Linked DNA regions of Styela clava. The protein of the gene in region 2 purifies or fractionates together with the protein of the main gene of each other region. This does not show direct contact. Links are inferred from orthologs where the notes say so. Each region holds a gene or a part of one and is shown on either strand. Other genes may lie near its edges.

Region 1 (7,591 bases), on a different chromosome or scaffold from region 2:
GACTGTGTCATTCCTAACCATTCTTAACAAATGAAATTGTACCATGATTGCTAAAACCTCCATTGGAAAAAGCAGCTCATTCAACTCTAACATTAATCTATAGTACTGGTCGAGAGATTGTGGACTCAGACAAAGCCAGGTAAATAAATTATGTCATAAATGATAAATCAGGTGACGAATCATTAAACTATTTGAGTTGAGCAAATAAGAAAACTTCAAACTCAGACTTTATCAAACTGTCAGCTCACATTTCAAATAAACAAAGCTGTTAAATATTACAGCACCAGACACACAATATGATTTAAAAAATGAAAAGGTGGAAATGGGGCAGATACAGACCGTATGAAAAATTTTAAACATCAGCTCCAATTCGAAGAAATAATAAATTCATGTATATCAAATATGGCAATGGGTCCCGGATGAAACACACAGTTAGTAAAAATAAAAACCATACTAAGGATAAAATCCACCAAACACCAAGATATATTTGGTCCCAAACTAAAGCACATTTGCTCTCAAGTCCCAAGAAAATCAAGATAATAAAACAAAGGTTTAACCAAGAAATACTACCCTTCAGTAAAAAAGGTTTCTAAGTTCAAAAATTAACCCCAGGCAGACTCATGGACACTGTGACAAAAATGTAAGAATTTCATATCATGGGATTATAATTCATATAATCAATATGTTATGAGTAATTGACAATTGTGAAAATTAGACATTATTACAGATTAGATCAATTCATCAAATTGAGCATTATTTTTTTTAACTGTTCAAAAAAAACTTAATGAACCACCATATATAGCCTCCACTTTAAGTGATGTATAGGATACATACATGAACCGTTCATAATTTTTTTGTAACAATCCTGACTCATATCTGATATTGTTCAATGCATACATGATCACCTAAACTTTATTTCGATTTTATGGTCCCTTTTTTTTTATTGTTTGTGGTTTTCTTTGACTTTATTTCCAGTTTTTTCTTTTTCGCTGGAGTAACAGATACTACTTTAGAAGATTGATCGTCACTAGAAGAATCATCAGAAGAAGAATCTTCACTACTGCTACTGCTTGACGAAGCTGACTTCTTCCTCTTCGTTCCAGCTGCTATAGGAGTAGATTTTGCAACAGGCGTTCTTTTTAAAATGCTTGTATTAGCGCTAGGTTTTGCAACCAAATTTGCTTTCTTTTTATCATCTTCATCACTAGAAGAATCATCATCAGATGAAGATGATTCTTTTGTTTCAGTTTTATTTATCGTAACCTTTTTTTCATCTTCAGATGTATCATCTTCATCTGAGGAGGAAGATTCTTCTTTCTTAATAACTTGTGGCGTATTTTTTACCTCCGGTTTCTTTGCAGATTTTGCATCCTCCTCTTCACTGGAATCATCACTATCAGTATCCTCTTCTGATGATGAAGAATCTTCCTTCTTTTTGATCTGAGCCTGAACAGGTGCTGCCTTAGGCTTCTCATCTTCTGAATCTGAATCACTGCTTGAATCAGAGGTTCCGGAATCTTTTGTTTTTGTTACTGAAGTATTTGTTTGCTTTGGTTTCTTCTTGTCATCATCTTCAGAAGAATCTTCTGAACTATCTGATGAGGATTCTTTCTTAGTATTTGTGGGTTTTGTTACTTTAGCATCTGCCTTTTTCACATCCTCATCTTCACTGGATGAATCCTCATCCTCACTTGAAGATTCTTTTTTAGAAGTTTTCAAATTGGTTTTCTCACTTATTTTTTTTTCTTCTTCCTCATCACTAGAGGATTCATCTGAACTTGACGATTCTTTTTTATTAGCAACTGGTTTGACAACTGCTTTCAATTTTGTTTCCTTTGGTTTTTCCTCGTCTGATGACTCTTCTGAGCTGCTAGATGAGGATTCTTTTTTCGAGTTAATAGCAGGTGCAGTTTTCTTTATAACAGGCTTGGTTTCTTCTTTTTCATCATCACTAGATGTGTCTTCAGAACTTGAAGAATCTTCCTTTTTAGCTACAGCTGAAACATTTTTAGCATTTTTTGTTTCAACGTCTTTTTCTGATTCAGAAGATGATGAGTCAGAACTTGATGAATCTTTAGCTTTTATTGTCTTTGACACACTCATCGAGTTTTTAGAAACCTTCTCCTCTTCTTCACTGTCGCTGTCTTCTTCCGATGAAGATTCTTCCTTTTTCTGGTTCACTTTTGCTGGAGAAGTTTTTTTCTTTACTAAAAGTTTCTTTTTCGGTTCATCCTCAGAATCAGAAGATTCATCATCAGAGTCTTCACTGGAATCTGATGATTCTTTCTTTTTCACAGGTTGCTTTTTCACTACTGCAACGCTTTTTGAAGTGTTCTCCTCATCTGATGAATCTTCAGATGAGCTGGAAGATGATTCTTGTTCCCTTGTTTTCTCTAATTTACTCTTCTTTGGATCTTTCTTTCCATTCAACTCTGAAACTGTAGTTTTTACTAGATTCCCAGATGCGGATTTCTTATTTTTTTCATCGCTACTTGAATCTTCCTCTGAGCTATCCTCTTCAGAGCTAGATTCTTTTTTCTTATTATTTACAGTCGCTTTTACTTCTTTCTTTTTATCACTGTCTGATTCAGAATCATCAGAGGATGTATCCTCACTGGATTCAGAAGAATCCTCTTTCTTGGGGATAATTTTAGCCTTTTTAGCTGGAACTTTCTTCTCTTCATCGGATGATGACATATCACTTTCAGAGCTAGATGGTGGATCGGCTTTCCTTGGTCTTTTTGTAGTTTTTCCATTTGTTGTACTTGTTCCATTCGGTGTTTTTTGGTCTACTTGAGTTTCCTTCCATAATTGATATGCCTCTTTCAAAGTTGGTTGATCCGACTCTGGTAATTTAGTGTCCGTGATTTTCCGAAACTTTTTTGCCAATTTGGTCATTTTACGATCTATAAAATATTTATAAATCAATCGTTCAACGTCGCATGATTGCGCGGCCATCTTGGCAACAACTGAGCTCTTTTCAGTAGGTATATTTTTCATTGGAAAATTTTATTCTGAATTTTATTAATAAGCTGAAAAAAAAAAACAATATGCTAAGATTGTGAACAAAGCTGAAGCTAACAAAATATGATTGAGATAACTTTTTCAGAAGTGGGCAATGAAAGCATGTCTAAAACAATGTGTACAAAAACCTTATAAAAAGAGTCAATGTAATGGCAGTGAGGCAATCAAAAAGTTTGGCAAAGCACATAATAGGTTGACAACGAGATAAGCAAATGTTATGCAAGTACAGTAGAATTGAATGCTATATAAATATCAATAATGAATGATCTTTTCGAAATTCCAGTCCAACTGATAAACATTCTGAACAAAAATCTAATTTTTATTAATCTTGAGCACCATCTAGCGGAGAGAATGTATAATATGTATATTAAGTCAGCATCTGGCAATATATTTGAAAACCTTATTTTAAAAAGACCACTGAAGAAGATTTGTTGATATTATTTTTTACAGCATTCAATACAAAAATAATAAGGGTTTAAACTTCGAAGTTTAAACTTTTCATTGATCTCGAGCCAGGATATGCATATTTATTTAAAATGGAATTCTTGACAATGTATCACAAATACTACACAAACAAAAATGGATATGCTAAATTGCTAATAACAAATTATATCATTCAATGATTGTTTTGAAAGAAGATAAATGTTCATCCTGGGGTAGAGAGAACAAAAGACACAAGGCCGCTTATTTACATAAAGGCTGTGATTTGAAAAAAATCTAACTTTACGAGGAACAAGGTATGAAAAATAGTACAAAAAGAACAGTCTATTCAATAATGTGTAACAAATGAGTTGAAATGAGATTAAAACTTCAATTACATGAAGTTATAAGCAAGTTCTTTATTCAATAATATACCACTGATTTTAAATCTCATATTTCCTTATGAATGCAGCCCTAAAATGAGCATATATTCAAATTAAATGTGGCATATACCGCAAAGTTATACACAAATTAGGTGCCGAAGAGATAAGAGGTGTAGATTATTTATTCACCTGGGTATCCTGGCTTCCACAGAAATATTTTTGGAGTCCATAAGGTGGGAAAAAAATAGCAAAATAGCCGTTATTACAAAATAGGAACAAGTCTACTAACCAACAAGGTTACAAGGTAACACAAGACATTGTTCCCATAAATGAACATGTTCACTCGCTCTGTTATCTAATCAGACTCAATAAAAGTATTGATATTGATTATTCTTGAGTATCTTATGCATACACAAAAATGTTTTTGATATTGATTATTTTCTAGAAGATCATTTTCCTCGTTTGAATTCCTTTTTCACTTTCTTTGCAGGTGTATTCTTGCCCTTGGGATCAGATTTTCTTTTCACAGCTGGTGATGCTGATACTTTGACTTTGAAAAAGTCATCCAGACGGCCTTGTGTACTTTGCTTCTTACTATTCATTAACTTCTTGATTCCATTTCGAATTCTATCTTCACTGAAACCTTTTTCTTTGCACATAAACTCGATGAGTTTTTCTTCATCTGGTTCTTTCCATTTAAGTTCAATGTCATCACATGGAGAAACATCAGGTTCAATAAACAATGATCTTGCTTGAGCAAATGCCCAATCTTCTGGTACTGTGTACTTTTTCTTGTCAATATTCCCCAAAATATCTTCAATTGTTTTATGTTGTTTGATGAGGTCATAGGCACGTTTAGGTCCAATACCTCTAATGGACCCGCAATAGTCGCAACCAAGTAAAATACACAAATCAATGAATTGTTCCTGTGTAATTTCCATTTCTTGAAGCACTTTTTCTAGAGTGAATTCCTGTATTGGCATTTTTCTTGCTTCGCTGAATGTCATATGTCGTAGAAGTCTATTGGATGCAAATGTAAGAGCATCCATATCTTCTGTGGCCGTTGCATAAACTTTTCCAGCTTTTACCAAAGTAGCACATTGTGCTTCTGCTTCAGTTGGTGCAGAGACGACAGGGACTCCCATAAAAGTAAGTAACTTTTTACAATCATCCATATGCTGTTTAGTGACTTTCACGAGTCGTCTTTGAAATTTGTCAACTTCTTCTTGCTCTCCTGCCTCTGTTGCTTCCGCAAGTTTCTTCTCAGCTTCCTCTCGTCTTTCCTTTCGCTTTTCGAGCTCACCAGACTTCATCTGAGGAGGTTTACCATCGAAGACGTAAACAGGCTTTATACCATTGTCTAACATTCGAATTGTACGATAAAACAATCCTGCAAGATGGCTAGTTACTTCTCCTTCATCATTTGTTAATTGATTTCCATCTTGTCTAATTGCAATCAGAAATTGATAAATGGCCATTGAGGCGTCAATCGCAACTTTTCGACCGAAGTAATTTTTAATGCTATTTTCTCTGACAGCAGATGGGGCTTTGTCGAATATCAACTTTGAGAGACCGAGAATTCCCATTATTCTGTTGTTATAAGACAACTGGGTAAGCTAAAATCTATAAAAAAAGACATTGAAAATGCTTTAAAATGGAAGCAGATTTTTTTCAGTAATTAAAATTGCAAGAGGTCCAAATGAAATGAGGTTCATGGAAAAGTCAGAAGTTTGATTTGACCATGCTGAGAGTTGAAAGCAGTGAATAACCATCGTCAGATAGTCTGCCCCCATTGCCCCAAATTTTTTAGATTAATTGAAAACAAGATTTGCACTAAAAAGTATGTTAGTTTTTCTCTAGTCAAATAGGCATTCAAACCAGAGGTTTAAACTAATCTTTTTTGAACCTGGCTAGTAAGCCCCAGTTCTGCAGTTGCTTATCTTTGTTAAATGTCACCCATGGCAAAGAAAATGCACTAGAAATGATTGAGTTTTAATTGTATTCAATTTTAAAATTATACTATTGAAACATGTTACAATTTAATTCCCCCCTCTCCCTGTCCAAACGAGGGTAGTTATGAAGATGCTAGGTCCCATATGTCGAATAAGCCATATACCTACCCTCCAAACGATGTCCATGGCACGAGCTAAAGCTGCCGTACCAAAAATCGACAACAAAATGGTCAATGTTATGGCTACTGTCACAAGCTAAGACAGTAAGATGTCGTTTAGTAGATTATATCATATTTATTTGTTGCATAAAACAGCTCCGCATGAAGCCTGATCACTCACATAGTGCAGGAGTTATTTTTTACCTAATTTACCCAATGTTGATGAAATCTATCTTGCAAGTACAGAAGTAGCAAGTAGGTATGTTTTTAAGTCATATGCCAGGTTACATTACATGGTGAAATTGCCTTGGCTGGTAGATATCTTTATTTGACATGTCTGCATGTTCAGATGTCAAAATGTTTATTTAAACCTCAATTTTTTAGCAACTTCTTGGAAGTTACTTCCCCAAATTTCGAGCAAATTTCAGTAAGTGTGTTGTCATTTTCAACCCACCATACTGCCATAAAATGCTGAAATGACAGAATGTGAAAATTGTCAAAAAAAATAATAATTTTGATGTATTTTGCTGTGATTGATAATATCACGACTGGCATATTAATAAATGTTACGACGCCGAATTTCTAAAATAAATGGGCAAATCGAATTTTGCCGTTTACTGGTCTACTAAGCTACAGGAGTGGCAGAGTGGTGACTCCACTACGGTCCATGGGCCGGCCCCATCAGGAAAAATTCAATTATCTTACCAAAATTTTCAATTTTCACAAAATTGTCAATATTCGAACCAAAAAAATATACTCCTGTAGTATGTGTACCAGGTTAGGGTTAGGACAAAAAAAATCCGATTTTTTACATTATAGCCTAGTTCTATCATGAGTTCGGGGACTGTCTGTGTTAGCCAAGTGAGTCGCGGCCCATAGCCTGATGGGCCGAGACCCAATTCTATGGGCCATGGCCCTGGCCCATGGGCCGCAGAGGAGTCACCACTTCCACTCCTACCAAGAGTCTGAAAGTCAGTGGTTCCATATCGGTACCGGTAACGTCTAACGATATCGGCACCTATCCATCCGAAGTGAATTGTAATTACTTATTAATCCACCAAGAGTCTGGAGGTCAGTGGTTACAGAACGTCTTCTGATATCGGCACCTATCTATTGGACGTGAATTCTACTCAATAAATCTGTGCAGGACAGGTCGTTTCAAACGTCTGCGAAATTGGAATAACCTCGTGCTTGAAGCTCATTTTCTGCATTTGGTAGAACTTGCACGTAACTATGAAAAACGCAGAGCGGCATCATGTGGAAAAGCTTTTGCGACCGTGGAACATTCGCGCGAACATGAGTACGTTGGCAAGAACGTAGAGACTGTAGAACGTGGCTGGTAGAATGAAGCAAGACGCAGTCAAATCGGAGCAGTGTCGACTGTAAAAACCTCGTTTCGATTCTGAGGTAAAACTTCTACAATACCATTTCGAGTAGATACGGTACCGGACATCAAAATTAGCTGTGAAACTTAGAAAAGTAGGATAGGATTTACATATTTATTCCGGGTGATAGAAATATAGTAAATTTTTTCGGGGTTATTTAGCCTTGTCGTGGGCTGTCAAGCGTGGAGTCGGTAACTAAGTAAGATTCTGATCCACTCGATCTTCATCAGAAGCGGTGGCGCAGGGGAAGCGTAGCAACATAGTCAAAC
Region 2 (7,556 bases):
CTTGTAACTATTTCTTGATCGCCTATACTTGTGGTTATTCATGTATTGCGTCAATTGGGATATTATGGTGCGTGATGCGTCGCCATGAGTCTGTGTTAAGTGGCGGATTTACCATTAGGCAAGGTGGACTGAAGCCTGGGGATCATTTTAAATTGTAAAGACTTGTTCCAGAATGAAACCTAATTAAATTTCATGAAACTGAAATTTGCTTAATTTTTTTTTAATCGGGTCAATAATTCTTGCCACAAAGATTATTCGTTCAAACGGGTAGAGACCAAATACGTTTGACTAAATGAATTCGTTTAAACTTGAAAAACTCTACCTTAAATTTAAAAGTGAAACAGTTTAAGTTTAACAGTTTTACCATAATGCCTTCATATTTTGAAAAAAAAATTATGAAATATCAATATCTAGCTATATATATATATACTAATTTATCTAAGCAACAATTAACCTAAAAAATTAGGATATATTTGACTATTTCTGGTCTTTTTTTTTTTATCGCAGAACCGTTCGAAAAAATATAAAGCTATATTTAATTATTAGTATGTTTTATTTATCGGCAAGGGGACCATGCCTTCCCACCTCTCGAGACAATAAACGGATGTTAACATTTATTTATACGTCCGATTTCTGCCGCCATGACGTTTTATTACTGTATGAGTTTGACAGAGTGTTTTTAAATTCATTTTACTATCCAATCTACTTAGGTGATTATCGTACGTAACTTACCCGTAGTTGAAATTTTGTATTTCACGCAATTTTATTCATGACGTCCTTTATCACATTCATCAAATTTATAACTAACACGAAAACGTCTACTACCATGTCATAATGGATTAGTTGTGACCAGTGTTCCCTCTAAGAAAATTTCACACTGCGCAAATATTGTTTTTACTGAACAAGACTATTTTAAGGCTGAGCAGAATCCTAAATTATTTGCAAATTTGTTAAATGTAGTAATAGTAGCTTATTATATATCATCGGAATGCGAACAAAGCACACGTTTAACTCAAATAGCTTTTTTTGTTTTCATGCCTTTACAAGGTTTATACATTTTGTCCGTGTTTGTTTTGTTTATTGCTGAATCAAGCGACAATCATCCAAAGAACAATACTTGATGTACGATCTCGACATTTTTGTTGTTGAAATATCATTGCTTTCATCAAAATCAGAAATGAAATTTTGCTTGTCTTATGCTCCGAATGATTTTTTTCCCTGGCGACAAAGTCTATGCTTATCAAAAATTCGAAGCCATAATTTTTGCTTCACCAGGAATGTGGCAATTTAGTGTATGTTGACATGCGACGATTTATTAATTTGCGGGACAATATTGATGAATTAAGCTTAAAACGTGGTGGAACACTATCTATGTGAGGCTTCATTTCACTTGATGGGGTTTTCAAAACTTCACTTTCTTCAGCGGTCGGTATTGCGGTGAAAAAGTTCGAACAACCTCCTCTTGCTTCCACGTTTCGCTTAATCGTTAAAGCATCTAGTGCGTCAATGTGCTTTTTTATTATTCAAATGGCGTTTTAAATAATCAACTTCTTATTCCCTCCCATGATTTTCTTTTTCCAAATTACTAACAGGTGCCACTTCCCGACAAACTTTGTGGATTATCACATTCCTTGACGTGGAATAGTAATAAATTTCGCAAAGTTCAGCAGTTGTTTTAGCTTATGCATACCGGTATCAAGATCGCAAATGAGTGTCGAACACTTCACTGTTGTATTTAGCCATTCCACTTTAAAATGAATTTTCTTATTTTTAGCTTTACTTCCCTGAATAGACATTTCACACACAAACGTCAGATAAAGAAAACTAGTATATTATTGGTTTTGGTTAATATGCTGAATATGAAAACGCTTAAAATTTTTTTTTAGTAATTTCTGGTGAAACATACTCACAACATCGCTATATAACATCGGTATCATTCAGTATAAGCTCATGGCCACGTGTGTACCAATCTAGAGATTTAGGAGGCAACAGTGCTAGCACTCGCTCAAACTCAGCCCTTCTTGAAATTCCAACTAGTTTAACCATATATTTACGGTTCATTAGCCTAACCATACGGCTACGAGCAACCAACAAATTTCCTGTAACAAACAATGGGCACCAGCTTTGCAACATTTGATACCTATTAAAATTCTAAATTTTCTCATATCTTCATCTGTTTGATTACACTACGAACAATAACAAGATTTAGCCGGGTCGACAACACGAAATCCAGAGCGCGCGATGAAAATTTTAAAAACTGACCCACGCTGGCATACAAAAATTAAGGTATTCGTAACAGACAGGTGTGTGACATCACAATGACTAGTGTTTACCAGAATACGCGTGAAACATAAAACGAGCATTCTAGTTGAGCGGTAATAAATATGACATATGAAATATGAGCCACGATTTGAAAACGAAATGTTGCAACTGCGCGAGAATGAGATTTTACTGCGCAAATGTTCTAGTGATACTGCGCAATTGCGCGGTTGGCAGCTTAGAGGGAACCTTGGTTGTGACGTTATTGTTAGAGGGTCCTGATAAATAGCATAATCTATAGTGCAAGGGTGGGCAACCTTTTTCAGTTTGCGTGCCAAAATAAGCATTATCGACAAAGAAAAACATACACTTTCACACAAGTATATATTGAGTTACTTTTTAATAAAATAACAATCTGACAAAATGATTTTATTACTTTTTTCATGCCACATCAGTGTGACATCTGCTGCTGCTTTACCACTGACTGAGATTTTACATCAGGTCTATATTTTGAAACTTTCCGAGAAGTACACCAACTACTAGTTTCATCAGTTTGGCTAATCCTATTACAAAACTTAAAATAAAGTTCATAACTGGGAACAGAGATACACAACCATATGCTGATGAAAACATAAAGAGTAATGCAGTTGCAAAATTTTTCAAGCACGGAAGATTTTCAAGAATGGTAATCCATATCTGCAATAGTTCTTTTTCTGCACTTCTCTCTTGTATTCCCTCCTTTTATCGCATTCTTCCATTATTTACCAACTCAACTCTAAGGTATAATCATTTTTCGCTTTCAATTTTTTTGCTGCCACGAAATTTATTATACACCAAGTTTCATCGGATAAATCAGGGGTTGTTGCCTACCTCTGGACTCTAGGGTTCTCATTGTCTAAATCCGGCTCTGCTCTTGGCAGTTCAGGGCTTACGCGTAATAATACTCAAAAGTAGTCTCCTTTACTTCTTAATGAGTGCGGGTGAACTGGTATTGAGCAAATTCTCTTAAAATATTTTCTCGCTATGTCCATTAAAAAAGCTACAACCCTTGTTCAATGTATTTTCTCGTTCCGAATAGACAATGTGTCTAAAACAGGGGTGGGCAAGGGGTTTGTACCAGGGGTCAAATATTTTGATCATCTAGACTGGCGGGCCATGAAAGTGTGACGTCAAAAGTTACATTTTATGAACAATATTTACAGTGTTACAAAAGCAAAATTGGAAAATAATAAGCCTCGTGCTAAAACTAAGTTTAATTGCAATCTCAACAAATTCCCTGAGCTAATTTTTAGCTGAAACAAAATACCAAAAGAGAGCGAGCTACGCAAAACCAGCGGCACGTGATATGATTGTTTCCCAGAGCGTCTATTTCCTTGTATATTTCTGCAACAGTAACTAATCACCAATAAGTTAGCAATTAGTGCAGTAGCTCAGAAATTTTTTATATATACACGTCTATGGATGTAAACATTGCCATTTTTACGGGGTTTTGGGTGTTGTTTGTCAGTTTTTAGTTGTGTGTCCAAAGATTAGTTTTAAATCAAATTCATCTCTAGTAAATCAAGTAACTTGAATGTCATTTTGTTTTCAGATGAGTTTTTGTATATTTAGTAAATTTTCTAAAAAAAGGGCTGCAATGGGATATACATATTTATCCCGAGAATAAGAAAGCCGATAAGACGGCTTAATCATATGACGAACCACGGACACTCGTTCAGTTACCAGTAGCCTACATGTCGGAGTAGGGGATTAGTTAGTCAGTTATTTGTTTTTAGAGGCATGGACTTGATGGTAGAGAAAGCCTTAACCTACCAGAGATTACGTGTACTACTCTACGGCGGCGATGAGTCCACCAATCCTTTCGCACATAACTATCCCCGCATGAGATCGGATCTGCGAACCCACGCGGTGTAATCAGAGGTTCGCGGCGAGCATATTCCTAACGCTCAGCACGATGTACCACACCAGCGAGACTGGGCTAAAACTAGCTATCAATACCCGCAAGCGATATTTGGATAAATACATTTATGAAAAATGATGGTTTTGAAGCGCCAATTTTTCAAAATACTCTCAACATGAGCATCAGAAATGTGCATTGTATCTTGTATGTACTTTAGAAAAAAATTCTTGGGTCAAGGGTCGGGGAAACATCCATTTTGATGATTCTCCGCAATCCATTTGCACAAAATTACATAGGATTACGTTGTCTTATTGGTTTATATTCTTTTTAAAAAAAATATTGAAATAAAAAAATTATCTGATTGTTTTACCCTATTCATTTATTATATAAATGTATAAATATATAAATGAATATGTAACTGGGTTTACGTAAATAATAAATAATAAACGATTTTTCGGTCGAAATCTCCTCGTGGTCTCAGCGAGCAGACAGACGTATTTGTTGCTGCGAACGGCGACAACAAGTTCTTGCAAAATGGTAAGTACATTTAGTTTACCGAAATTGTAGTAATAGGATGTACTGACGTAGTATTATTTAATACAAATAAAATTATGTGAATATGTTTTTATATTTCAGAGTGTAGGCCTAGTGGTGAAATTTATATAGAATATTTTGTTGCCTGTCTCTTCGCCGCGGTAGGCCAACTTAAGAACTTACAAAACATGAACGTAACTAGTACCGTACCGGTACGGTAACACAGCAACATGTTTGCTTATATTGATTGTGTGGTTGTAGGCCTATAATAATTTTCTTATAGTCTGCCAAATATATAATCATTTATATACCTGCATCCTTCTGGACTGTCAGACTCTGATAACCGATAAGCAATAACCAGATAACTGGAATATATATGGGCAGTACATCACAGTGGTTCGATTTCAAAAATAACCCCTTTATTTGAAGACAATTAATTATAAATAAGTTTAAATAGATGTTAAAAAGTTGATAAACCAAGCAATTTTGACAACCCGAATCTTGAGGTTTCACAAACTGAGACAATTCCAGAATTCACAATCATTATTCGGACCTCCTGAAGTAGGGTGGCTTACCCACTTTGCGGCCATGACCTATCTGCGACCATCAACTTCATCGATTGAATTAATGTCGAAAAAATTAACGAACCGCGACGATATTTCTCACGCGTTATCGTCCACTTATCCCTCGTAGCTCGGCGAAATTACACTAAAATGCGGCCACAAATAAAAAAGTTAAGACCGAAAACCTGACCGAAGAAAAAAAACAGACCATTTTACCATGTCGCCAACTACCCATTGTTCCTTTAAAAAAGCTTGAAAATCCATACAAATATAAGAGATAAAGAGATGAAACTTGGCAGGTGGGTAGAGTTGTGTTGCTTTTAACCATCTTTAAAGTTTCGCGTTTCTACATTCAAAGTAGGGGGGTGCGCATTTCCAATACGTCAATAATATCTTTGTCAACTAATTTGCGACCACCGTGTTTTTGTCTGTTTGATTGCTGTGATGCGGTGCTTTGTTTATAATTTGAAGAATTTTGTTCGAAATAACCGTGTTCTCAAAATATATGACGGTCAGAAATGCAATTAGAAGCCCATTTTTTCACGCATGGCTGCGTATGCCCTAGTCTCGACGCAGCAGAAACGATGTTCAAGGCTTGTAATCCGTGATCGCACACTGGTCGTTCGGTCGCAAATACGTCTTCAGAGTCTCGTACTTTGGTGGTTTGTTTAGCTTTAACCCCTGGTCGTAGAAAGTTAATTCGAAGTTCAGCGTGTAGAATAAATGCCAATGCACCTACGGTGAAAAAATTAACGGGTTTGAAATATTGGTTTTTGTTTTATAGCGGTTTGAATGAAATCGTCCGCAGACTGGCTACACCAACCTATGCGCACCAAGATGGCGCACAACCTGAAGTCAAGTTGTGTTCCAGGTTAGGGTTCAGGTTGTGCGACAGCTTGGTGCGCATACTTCAGGAGTACCCATTATTCTCTAAACAATTTTGTTTGTTTCAGTTGTACATTCTGTACGAACACGCAACTGGATATTCGCTGTTTCATGTGCAAGAAGTAGAAGAAGTTGGAGCACTGTTGCCGACAGTCGAGAGAGCAATCACAGATGTCGCTCTATTCAAGACCATTGTTAAATTGATTGCATTTTCTCCATTTAAGTCGGGAACTAATGCACTGGACAATGCTAACGCTATTTCTGAAGGTTAGTATACACTCTTACCAGCTATTCCTATGCCAAACTAAAGACCAATACCTAGAAGAACGATAGTTGTTTTATACAAACCATTGGCTGTTTATCCAGACCCTCTGATAGAATGCATGAAATGCTTCATTGTTCAGAAGACTTAACAGTTTTGAATCTGATTTTCTTAGTGTTGTTCTTTACTGTTTTCTTTGTGTCAAATGCATGTGATCTGATGAATCGTACCTCTTTCATTTGTTTATTATCCTGGTTTTGCCCTTTTTGAAAATAAATGGTTAAGTATTATAGTAAGCTCAAATCATAACCATATTTTACTCATTTACACAATCACAATGGTAAAGCTGATAAGACTGCTTGAGCATATGGCATACCACGACCACTGACTGACTTGAGTGGTGAAATTACCCACTTTAATAGATTAATCTATTCTGCATCATTTCAAATAGAAATTGAACATCTCCAAGAAATTCTAAAAACCTGTCGCTTTTGCTTCCTAACAATAAAACATTTCTTTTATCAAATATACCCAAATTCGGCATGTTTACGCATATTTCTATTACGTATATTATGACTTCTTATTTCAAAATTCTATGACTTTGTTAACCTTCTTTTCATAATAATATCTTCTTCTAGGTATTGTTCATGATGATTTGAAATTGTTTCTGGAAACTAATGTTCCAACTGGTAAAAAAGCAAAGAAATCAGGGTTCGAACTTGGTGTGTCTGATACAAGAATAACGGCAACAATACAGGATGAACTTGGAATCAAATGTGCAGTTGGGGACGCTGTAACAGAAATATTCAGGGGTAAAGTATAAGGACAGAATTTAGGACCGAAACCCCTTTTTCGACTTTTTTCGTAAAATAGTTAGTTGTTTTGCCTCAAGTGTCATTAATTTTTTAACTTGATACTGTTATAATCGAGAAGTCACGTTTTTTGATTCTATTTATAGGATTTTTGGATGAGCAATATTCATCAGCCTCTTCTCTTAGTGTCCAATATTTTAGTATGAAATTCACCATATATCGAAGTAAATGACAAGCTTGGGGAAAAAATTGTATTCAAGAATGGAGACCCTTCTTGTCCTTAATTCAGTATAAACCCATGTTTGTAGATGTGGTTTATGTTGCGTTCTAGAGAAAATTAA
Region 3 (7,723 bases), on a different chromosome or scaffold from region 2:
CGCTAGGATATGTGCGCCATATTCGGGATTATTATAAACACGAAAAAACAGTATTTGAATTTAAATTCGATTTGGACATCCCTGCATTAAATTAGTCAGTTTTTAGTGGTGTTTCCAAAAATTAGTTGTAAATCAATTATTTTAATTGTCATTATGTCTTCCGGTGAGCTTCAGTTTAGTTTAGAATTTTTCCGGGGTTAGGGTCGGGAAAAGGTCCATTCGCAAGAAGTGCATTTTGTTTTTAGTGTTGACGAATTCACCCAACGAGCAAGGCGCGGCACGAGGGAAACACTGGAATTTATTCAAGCCGTGTTTCACTATCCACGAGGCGCAAAGCGAGGGAAACGTTGAAAATAATTAACAGCTTTTCGTTAGCAATTCGCTGGAATGTAATGAACGGCGTTTTGCTACCCACGAGGTGCAAGACATAGCGAAGCGCCGTTAATGAACGAGTGCAAGGTAAGCGAAAGGCTGGGATTTAATCGATGGCGTTTCCCTTTTAACCATGAGCAATTTATCGTGGTCAGCGGGGCGACACCTAGTGGCGTTGCGACTCACGTCGTGGTTGCACTGTGTAAATTCCGGTCGGACCCCCCCCCCGTTGAAAACAGCCTGGTTGCGCCACTGGGGACAAATACCAAATTTATGGTTCCAAAAGTATAGACATGCTGCGGGAGATAGAAAGCAGTATAGCGAAGGTACTTTATATAGGTTCGTATCAAATTGGGAAAAAAGTCACAATCATTTAAAGCCATTATTACACATGCAATATTATTTTCCCAAATCAGTTCATTATGTTTTGACTTTTAATATCACTCTTTTTTATTACTGGCTGGAAAAATAAACTCGACTAAATGCATGCCAACTGATCTTCCATTTCATTATATTTTCATTTTCAGCTTGCATGGTTAGGACTTTAATTTGATCCTTAATCAAACATCTTGTTAGTCTGTGTAATTTACATGCATGAAGTGGGAATTATTGCATAATACAAGGTGTTCTACCTTCATCTACATCGTCTCGAGCGGCAGCTTCAAGTAATGTAACACTATCTCCAAATTTAACTGATCTTTTGTTATCATTTGCTATTTGTCCGTTTGGTAATCCTGCCTTATCTTTTTCATATTCAAGCTCGGATTCTTTCCAACGCTGAAGTTGTTCTTGTCGACGTTGCCTTGCATGGATCAGCCTTGAAAATATATTTTTGTTAGAAATAATGTCAAATGCTGATAATATGACAAAAATATGCCAAAATAACTTTAGTGGAAAAGGAATTCCCCATGCAATAGCAGTTTTTCTGGTCGTATTGAATTGAACCCCTTCACATCTCACGCCAATGGCTAGCATCCAATGCGCTACCCCTATTTCAATATAGTTTTATTAGCTCTTTCAGTGGTGTGACCATAACTTTGTAGAGATGAGTCTCCTTGACTTTTGGCGGTTATGTGATCCACCTTACGGCGGCAAGGAGTTCAGCAATCTTCTTTTAATAATCATCCCCCACAAGATTCGAAAGTGCGAAGCAATGCAGAGTAATCAGAGGTGCGGTGGCGAGCATATTTCTAATGCTTATTACAATGAGTCACACTACCTGGCCGATAATGCTTTTCTCCAGATAGATATTTTGCTCATTATTTAAATATAATGCCATGGTTGCACACACAGAAAAATTAAATCCTCATTATATCAACACAAAAAACTTTTTTACCTGTCTTCAGTTGACATGCTGTTGACGTAATCAATTTCTGCAACAAGATTTGCATGGCTCACCATTTCTCAAAGTACATTCCAGAACGAAGGTTATAATTACCTGCCTAGGTAGCTAGATTGCATTGCTATTAAAGTATGATAATTCACCTAATCTATGCTGGAAAAATGAGGAAAACAGTTTCTGGTTTGCACGAACTAAAGTTAAAAGTAGGGCCCTGGATATAAAATACAGTAAGTAAATTAGATTTTCCGAAATGGATTGTCATAATACCATTTTAGGCATACAAAGCCTAAATTTGATCGAAATGTACTGAATACTTGAAATGACAAAGAGTAGAAATGAAAGTGACACACAATATGACATCCTATAAACTAAGAAATACTTGATGATATTCGTAATACAAAAATATATCAAAATATCTTTTTCTGTCTCTTTGAGTAATTATTATATTGACAAGAAGACAATTTCCCATTACTTAAAAAAATTGATGAATTAATACAACTCAGGACTCAACCATTCGAAATCAATGAAGCATAGCTCGCCAGAATAATACCATCTTAAATAATGTGTAGCAGAGCTGCATGGTTCCACTTCATTGACTACCACATTAAAATAAGATTCATACCAAACAGACTGGACTACAATAATGACAAAAATGACATTTTCCTCTAATCTGCACTTTCAAACTCATTTACTTAGAAGATACAAAACTGTTGCTTTTTATATCATGTGAAATATTCTAACTTATTCTTAGTAATACTAATACGTAGACTAATGTTTATTCCAATTTTTCTTCTGGGCCAATCGTTTCTAGATAATCGATTCTTAATCATTAAGCAACAAGTCTAGAAAATATCTCTAGAGACAAATTAGAAGGGAATAGATGCATCAATAAAAACCTTGCTCAGCTGAAAACGACCTAAGGGAACTGAATGCAATTTGGTAATTTCTCCGAGATGATTAAACCATACTATTAAATAGTAATTTAAACTGTAAGTGTTATTGAATACTACATTTATTAAACGTTTAAGAATATTAAAATTCAGTTGAAATGGAATATATTGGGTCATACTCATACCCCTAGGATTTGGTATGAAAAATCGTGAAAAATGAATATAATTTGAAAAGTTCCTTTAAGAAATAGAATAAACTAAAGTATCAGTTGTAAATGTTGCAAGTGTTTCAAATTTCTAGTTGCAATACTCTATGAATAACCCACAATAGATATTTTCACTCTTGTTTCAGCATACATGGATAATACAGATTGACCGCCTCTAGGGCATAGAAAAAGGATAATTAGTTGAATTAAAAAAAAACGATTATCAGCATAAAATATTGTTTGAACCCGCCAACCTGAGCAAGCGCGCACCTAATGCTACTATCTAATAGAAACCAGATAAAACTTCTTTGCACACAACACAGTTCCAGAAAATCTATTTTCTTCCATGCGTAAGTTACAAATGCATTGTATTGAAATCTAAACTTTGTAGCGTAATTACCCTCTTAACAAGAATACTTTGCGGTTTAAATTGATTTATATGCATAACTGAACAACAAAAGTCTATCATGTTACTTCACATTACGTTCACTCCAATGCTTATGAGCTATTGATTATAGATCAAGTATTTGAAAGGTGAGACAGTTGACGAGACTTGAAGTGCGCATTCTAGGATATTTATTTATTTTTTATTATTTATATGAGTTAAGTTTATTTCGGCTCCATAATCAGCATAACAAATGATAAGATAATTAATTGATAACTGATTATAAAACCAGGATAGCAAACAAAACCTTAGGTAATGTTCAAAGCGTACAAAATATAAGTTGAAAGGTTTTGCCAAAGACAAGCGGAATTGATTTTTAAATTTATTTTAAAAGTCAGAATGATTAATTCAAAATAAATAAAAATATTGCAAAAAGATTTAATATAGACATTTTGTAATATATGGATATTGATCTAAAAATCAATTTAGGCCATTAATCATGTAATCCTAAAAAAATGCTTAAATGGCTTCAATTAGACTACATTGGAAAGAACTAAGCGGTATCTTTTCAATGATAAAAACTGCCTAGGACGCAATCCTTTTAGTCTAAGACCTGAAAACGAAATGCAATATCTGAATATTAGGCAATATCTTTTGGGATACAGAAATAGATTTAAGGTTAATTAAGACTAACAAAATTGTTATAAATAATATTATTTATATAATTATTTATAAATTTTTATTTTCTGTCTTTGTTATCTTCTCAAGTTGATTAGACCTAAGGTTTGAATACAAATTTTTTTAAAGTGCCGTCATCGTCTTAATGATTCACAATTTCGTTAATAAATTCTGCGATCTCAAGTCCAATTTGGTTTTCAAATCCACTAAACCAGTGAACACTCAAGCTTAGCACTGCGAGCATAGCATTCTGATGAATTGCAATATAAACTTCTCAACCCTAATTTAAAATCTAGTAACGAAAACGTGTTCTCTAAAAATTATATAACTTTCAAAAACAGGTCGTGACGAGATGCACCAAGCCATCGACCAAGCCGCTAGCAAACAGATTAGCAAGTGCGGCGTTGCAAAGCGAGCAACTCTCACGAAATGAGAACGAAGAGACAAAATTTTGGCATAAACCACATCCGCGAGATGACGCCCATGGGTATTTATGAAAGAGCCATAAAATTTGTTTTGTGGTGCAAAATTTTAAAACTATTTAAACCCATTTTTTTAACTTTCTAGTTATCGAAAAAAATGAAGTATTGCGAAAACTGTACAATTAGAACGTAAAAATTTGTAAAAAATCTGTTAAAAGTAAAACTAATTGTCGGACAAAAGATACGCATCGGTGGTCATAATTGTAGCATGTAATTTTGATAGTTGTCAGATATACAGAAATTTAAATTTTTTAAATTTGCAATTAAGTAACAAATCCCCAACAGACTTGCATAAAATTGATGTTTCCATAATTGTATTTTTTTTTTTTTAATTTTGGAAACTTATCAAAAATTTATAATGTTACTTTTAGTAAAAATTTTGCAAGGATGTCAAATGTGATTTACTCCAATCTGGTAACCCTTCCCTAAATCGACAAAGTTTTAATATCTGTCTTGCTAAATTTCGCCGTTTTTTCGTCATTTTGTGATTCAATTTTACACAAAATGGAGGAAGTTGCTGCGGATGCGTCACAACTATTAAAAAATATAACTGAAGAGGAGAAAGAAAAATTAAAATCTATCACTGTTGAGAAAGATATTGACCTCGAATTCGACCTGGGAAATCTTATTGCAACGGACTCCAATTTACTGGATTCACAAGCTTTCAAGTAAGATACATCTAATATTATACTGCTGTATTAGTGAACAAGTTTTAAAGTAAACAGTATATGGAAGAACAATTTTGTTTCTTTACTTTTTTTGCTGTTGATTCTCAATACCAGATTTTTCTTGTACTGGTATAATCAAGTTATATTAAACTTATACTTACAAATAACTGATAAACTACATACCTATCTATTTAAGTATACGTTTATTTCGACTCCATAATCAGCATAACAATAAAATGATTGGTAAAAAAAATGATGATTATGAAATCAGGAGAGCAAACAAAACCTTAGATAAGGTTTAAAACGTACAGAATGTATACAAGATGGAAGGTTTTGCCAAGAAAAAGTGGTACGTGTTCACTTACCTAAAATAATGGGAATATTTCACACACGCTCACACGCACCCACACTCACAACCATACAGAAGTTATAAATTACATACGGGTAATTTAAAAAAATAAATAAAAATTACTTGCCACACCATATTAATAAATTTATAACGTTTGCCACTGCCGAATTGATAGATTTTATAAATGGGAGTGAACAGTAGAGATGAACTTTTATGAAAAATGTATTGCCAAGCAGATTATAGTTATGGAATTACTCAATCTCATTCCAGGAATTTACTGTCTAAGTTGCACGTTTTTCTCTTTTTGAGGATAGTTGCATTTTTATACCATTTGCTAGCTCAGTAACTTGTCAAATTTGCATCATGAATTGATCTTTTGTACAATAAACAAAATGGAATCGTCAGCATAATAAATCTCGCAAAATGACCTTGGGTCTAGTGTAGTTTAGTGCCTCTTTAGTACTTCTAGTGGACGTGGAATAACTATTTTTGCATATTTTATTCCCAACACTACCCGACGACAAAGCTTTCTCGGTTTAGGGTAAGCATCTACACGGTGGGAATAACTGTTCGTGTATTTTTCCGTGTCTTAACGTGTTACAGTGAAGTCATCATGGTGACATAATTTTTGGATGACGTAGTCAAATGGGGGGTAGGAATTACATATGCAAAAATTGTTGAACTAATCCCTTGTACTATACCAGACCCACCTGCTCAACTTAATTAAAATAAATTGGTTTAGAATGCTATTTGGCTCTAAACAACCCCAGCATCATTTTCATATAAAATTTTTGAGCCATGTTTACAAGCCGCCACTTTTTAGTGTTTCCCAATTCTAATCAGCTCCCTTGGCACTGGTCCTTTGCATAATCGCACATTCCGTTCGCATCAACTGGCCATATAAGGGAACGGTGTTTACTGAATGTGTGCCTAGTTTTTGTAGTCATACAAATTATCAGTTTTCAATCATTTTTTTCAGGCAAAATTCAGAAGACTACATCAAGAAACTAACAAGAGACAACACACAATTGCTATTTAATGAAATATGGAAAGTGAGAAAGTTGTTTTTGTTTTAATATTTGCAACAGAGAATTGGCAATACTAAATAATTATTATACTTGAATGATTTTGAATTGGGTAATCAAGTCCATGCATCCGAAAACGAATAACTGACTAACTAAACTATTCCCATACCCGACATGGACTGGTAACCGGACGGAAGGGTGTGGTTCACCATATGATTAAGCTGTGTTATAAATATATAAATCCTCCCCTATCCTATTGATTTTATTGAGAAAAGAAATCACTGTTGTGGAGTCTGGTCCTGGTGATATAAAATCGGACTCTTAGTAATGTGATTTGGGTTCTGACATATCAGAATTTGATTCTTTTATGGTCATCTTTAATCTGTAGTGTAAAAAGTTTCAATCTCGTCTTTTAACCTGAATATCAATGAAGGATAAATGGCAACATTAGTGCTTCATTGATAATGTTGTAAAATTAATAATTGCTATTTTTGTTTTACAGTTACCAGTTGAACGAGTACAAGAAGCCATAGTTGCCAAGGTATAATGTAAAAAATAATTATTTGTTATGGGCATTCCCGTAGCATGTGTACCAGGTTAGGGTTAGGCCATAATTTTATTCTGATTTTTCTTATTTTAGTTCTTTTACGAGTTCAGGACTGTCCGTGTGAGACAAGTAGATATACCCCCTGCCCATAGGTTTCAGTCCCTTTACACAACTTGATGTAAAGTAGGCAAACAAAATTAGTTACCTCCATATTGGTACACACACTTCTAGATGCACTATACTCTCATGATTAATTTAAATCTAACCTTGAGTTTACAATCTTGTTTGAAAATCAAATGAGACGTTTTGCTCAGAACAGGGCTGTAAACAGGTTGCAATTCAAACTCAGATCAATTGAATTTTGATTATGTTTGCATAAGGATCAGTGGTGAGCTGCAGCCGAAACGCACCGGTAGGCTACCTAGTTTTGGTTGTTAAACATTTAATGGCATTTGCGCTCCTGTTGTTGGAATAAAATTATGTCATGGGGAGTCCCGTTTAACTTAGTTAATAACTGTACGGTTTGTTACGGTCATAGTACGTTTTCACAAGTTAGGTACATACTGGTTGTTACAATTTTTCCATCTCATCACTGATAAGGATGCCAATATCAGTTATGGCTATTAGTCATTTGTATTAATAAAGCCATTGTCCGCTTGTCAATGATCATTTTGTATGTAAAAACTTCTGCTTTGTAGAGTTTCCACTTAGTTATTTTTCTGACAGGGATAACTTGAATTGTTTCAAGTTTTTTCAACTGTCATCTATTAATAATTGCA

What was found. Proteins that work in one complex are often made in the same cells at the same time.
Region 1: the proteins of nucleolar protein 56-like (region 2) and uncharacterized protein LOC120330391 purify together in Homo sapiens (affinity purification with mass spectrometry; 6 studies listed by BioGRID and IntAct, with this or other methods). This does not show direct contact. The link is inferred for Styela clava from reciprocal best matches to the Homo sapiens genes NOP56 and NOLC1.
Region 3: the proteins of nucleolar protein 56-like (region 2) and ribosome biogenesis regulatory protein homolog purify together in Homo sapiens (co-immunoprecipitation; 3 studies listed by BioGRID and IntAct, with this or other methods). This does not show direct contact. The link is inferred for Styela clava from reciprocal best matches to the Homo sapiens genes NOP56 and RRS1.

The regions. Positions count from the first base shown.
Region 1 is NC_135261.1:11,302,999-11,310,589, reverse strand, and holds the start of uncharacterized protein LOC120330391, read right to left. Parts: upstream 3,001-7,591; coding exon 913-3,000; 3' UTR 1-912. Other genes in the region: flap endonuclease 1-like, read right to left, coding at 4,277-5,413. UniProt on the Homo sapiens protein: Nucleolar protein that acts as a regulator of RNA polymerase I by connecting RNA polymerase I with enzymes responsible for ribosomal processing and modification.
Region 2 is NC_135258.1:15,344,979-15,352,534, forward strand, and holds the start of nucleolar protein 56-like, read left to right. Parts: upstream 1-4,539; 5' UTR 4,540-4,693; coding exon 4,694-4,696; intron 4,697-6,209; coding exon 6,210-6,408; intron 6,409-7,041; coding exon 7,042-7,215; intron 7,216-7,556. UniProt on the Homo sapiens protein: Involved in the early to middle stages of 60S ribosomal subunit biogenesis. Required for the biogenesis of box C/D snoRNAs such U3, U8 and U14 snoRNAs. Part of the small subunit (SSU) processome, first precursor of the small eukaryotic ribosomal subunit.
Region 3 is NC_135263.1:4,727,839-4,735,561, forward strand, and holds the start of ribosome biogenesis regulatory protein homolog, read left to right. Parts: upstream 1-4,723; 5' UTR 4,724-4,859; coding exon 4,860-5,023; intron 5,024-6,351; coding exon 6,352-6,424; intron 6,425-6,899; coding exon 6,900-6,938; intron 6,939-7,723. Other genes in the region: protein phosphatase 1 regulatory subunit 16A-like, read right to left, coding at 1,005-1,189, 1,709-1,773. UniProt on the Homo sapiens protein: Involved in ribosomal large subunit assembly. May regulate the localization of the 5S RNP/5S ribonucleoprotein particle to the nucleolus.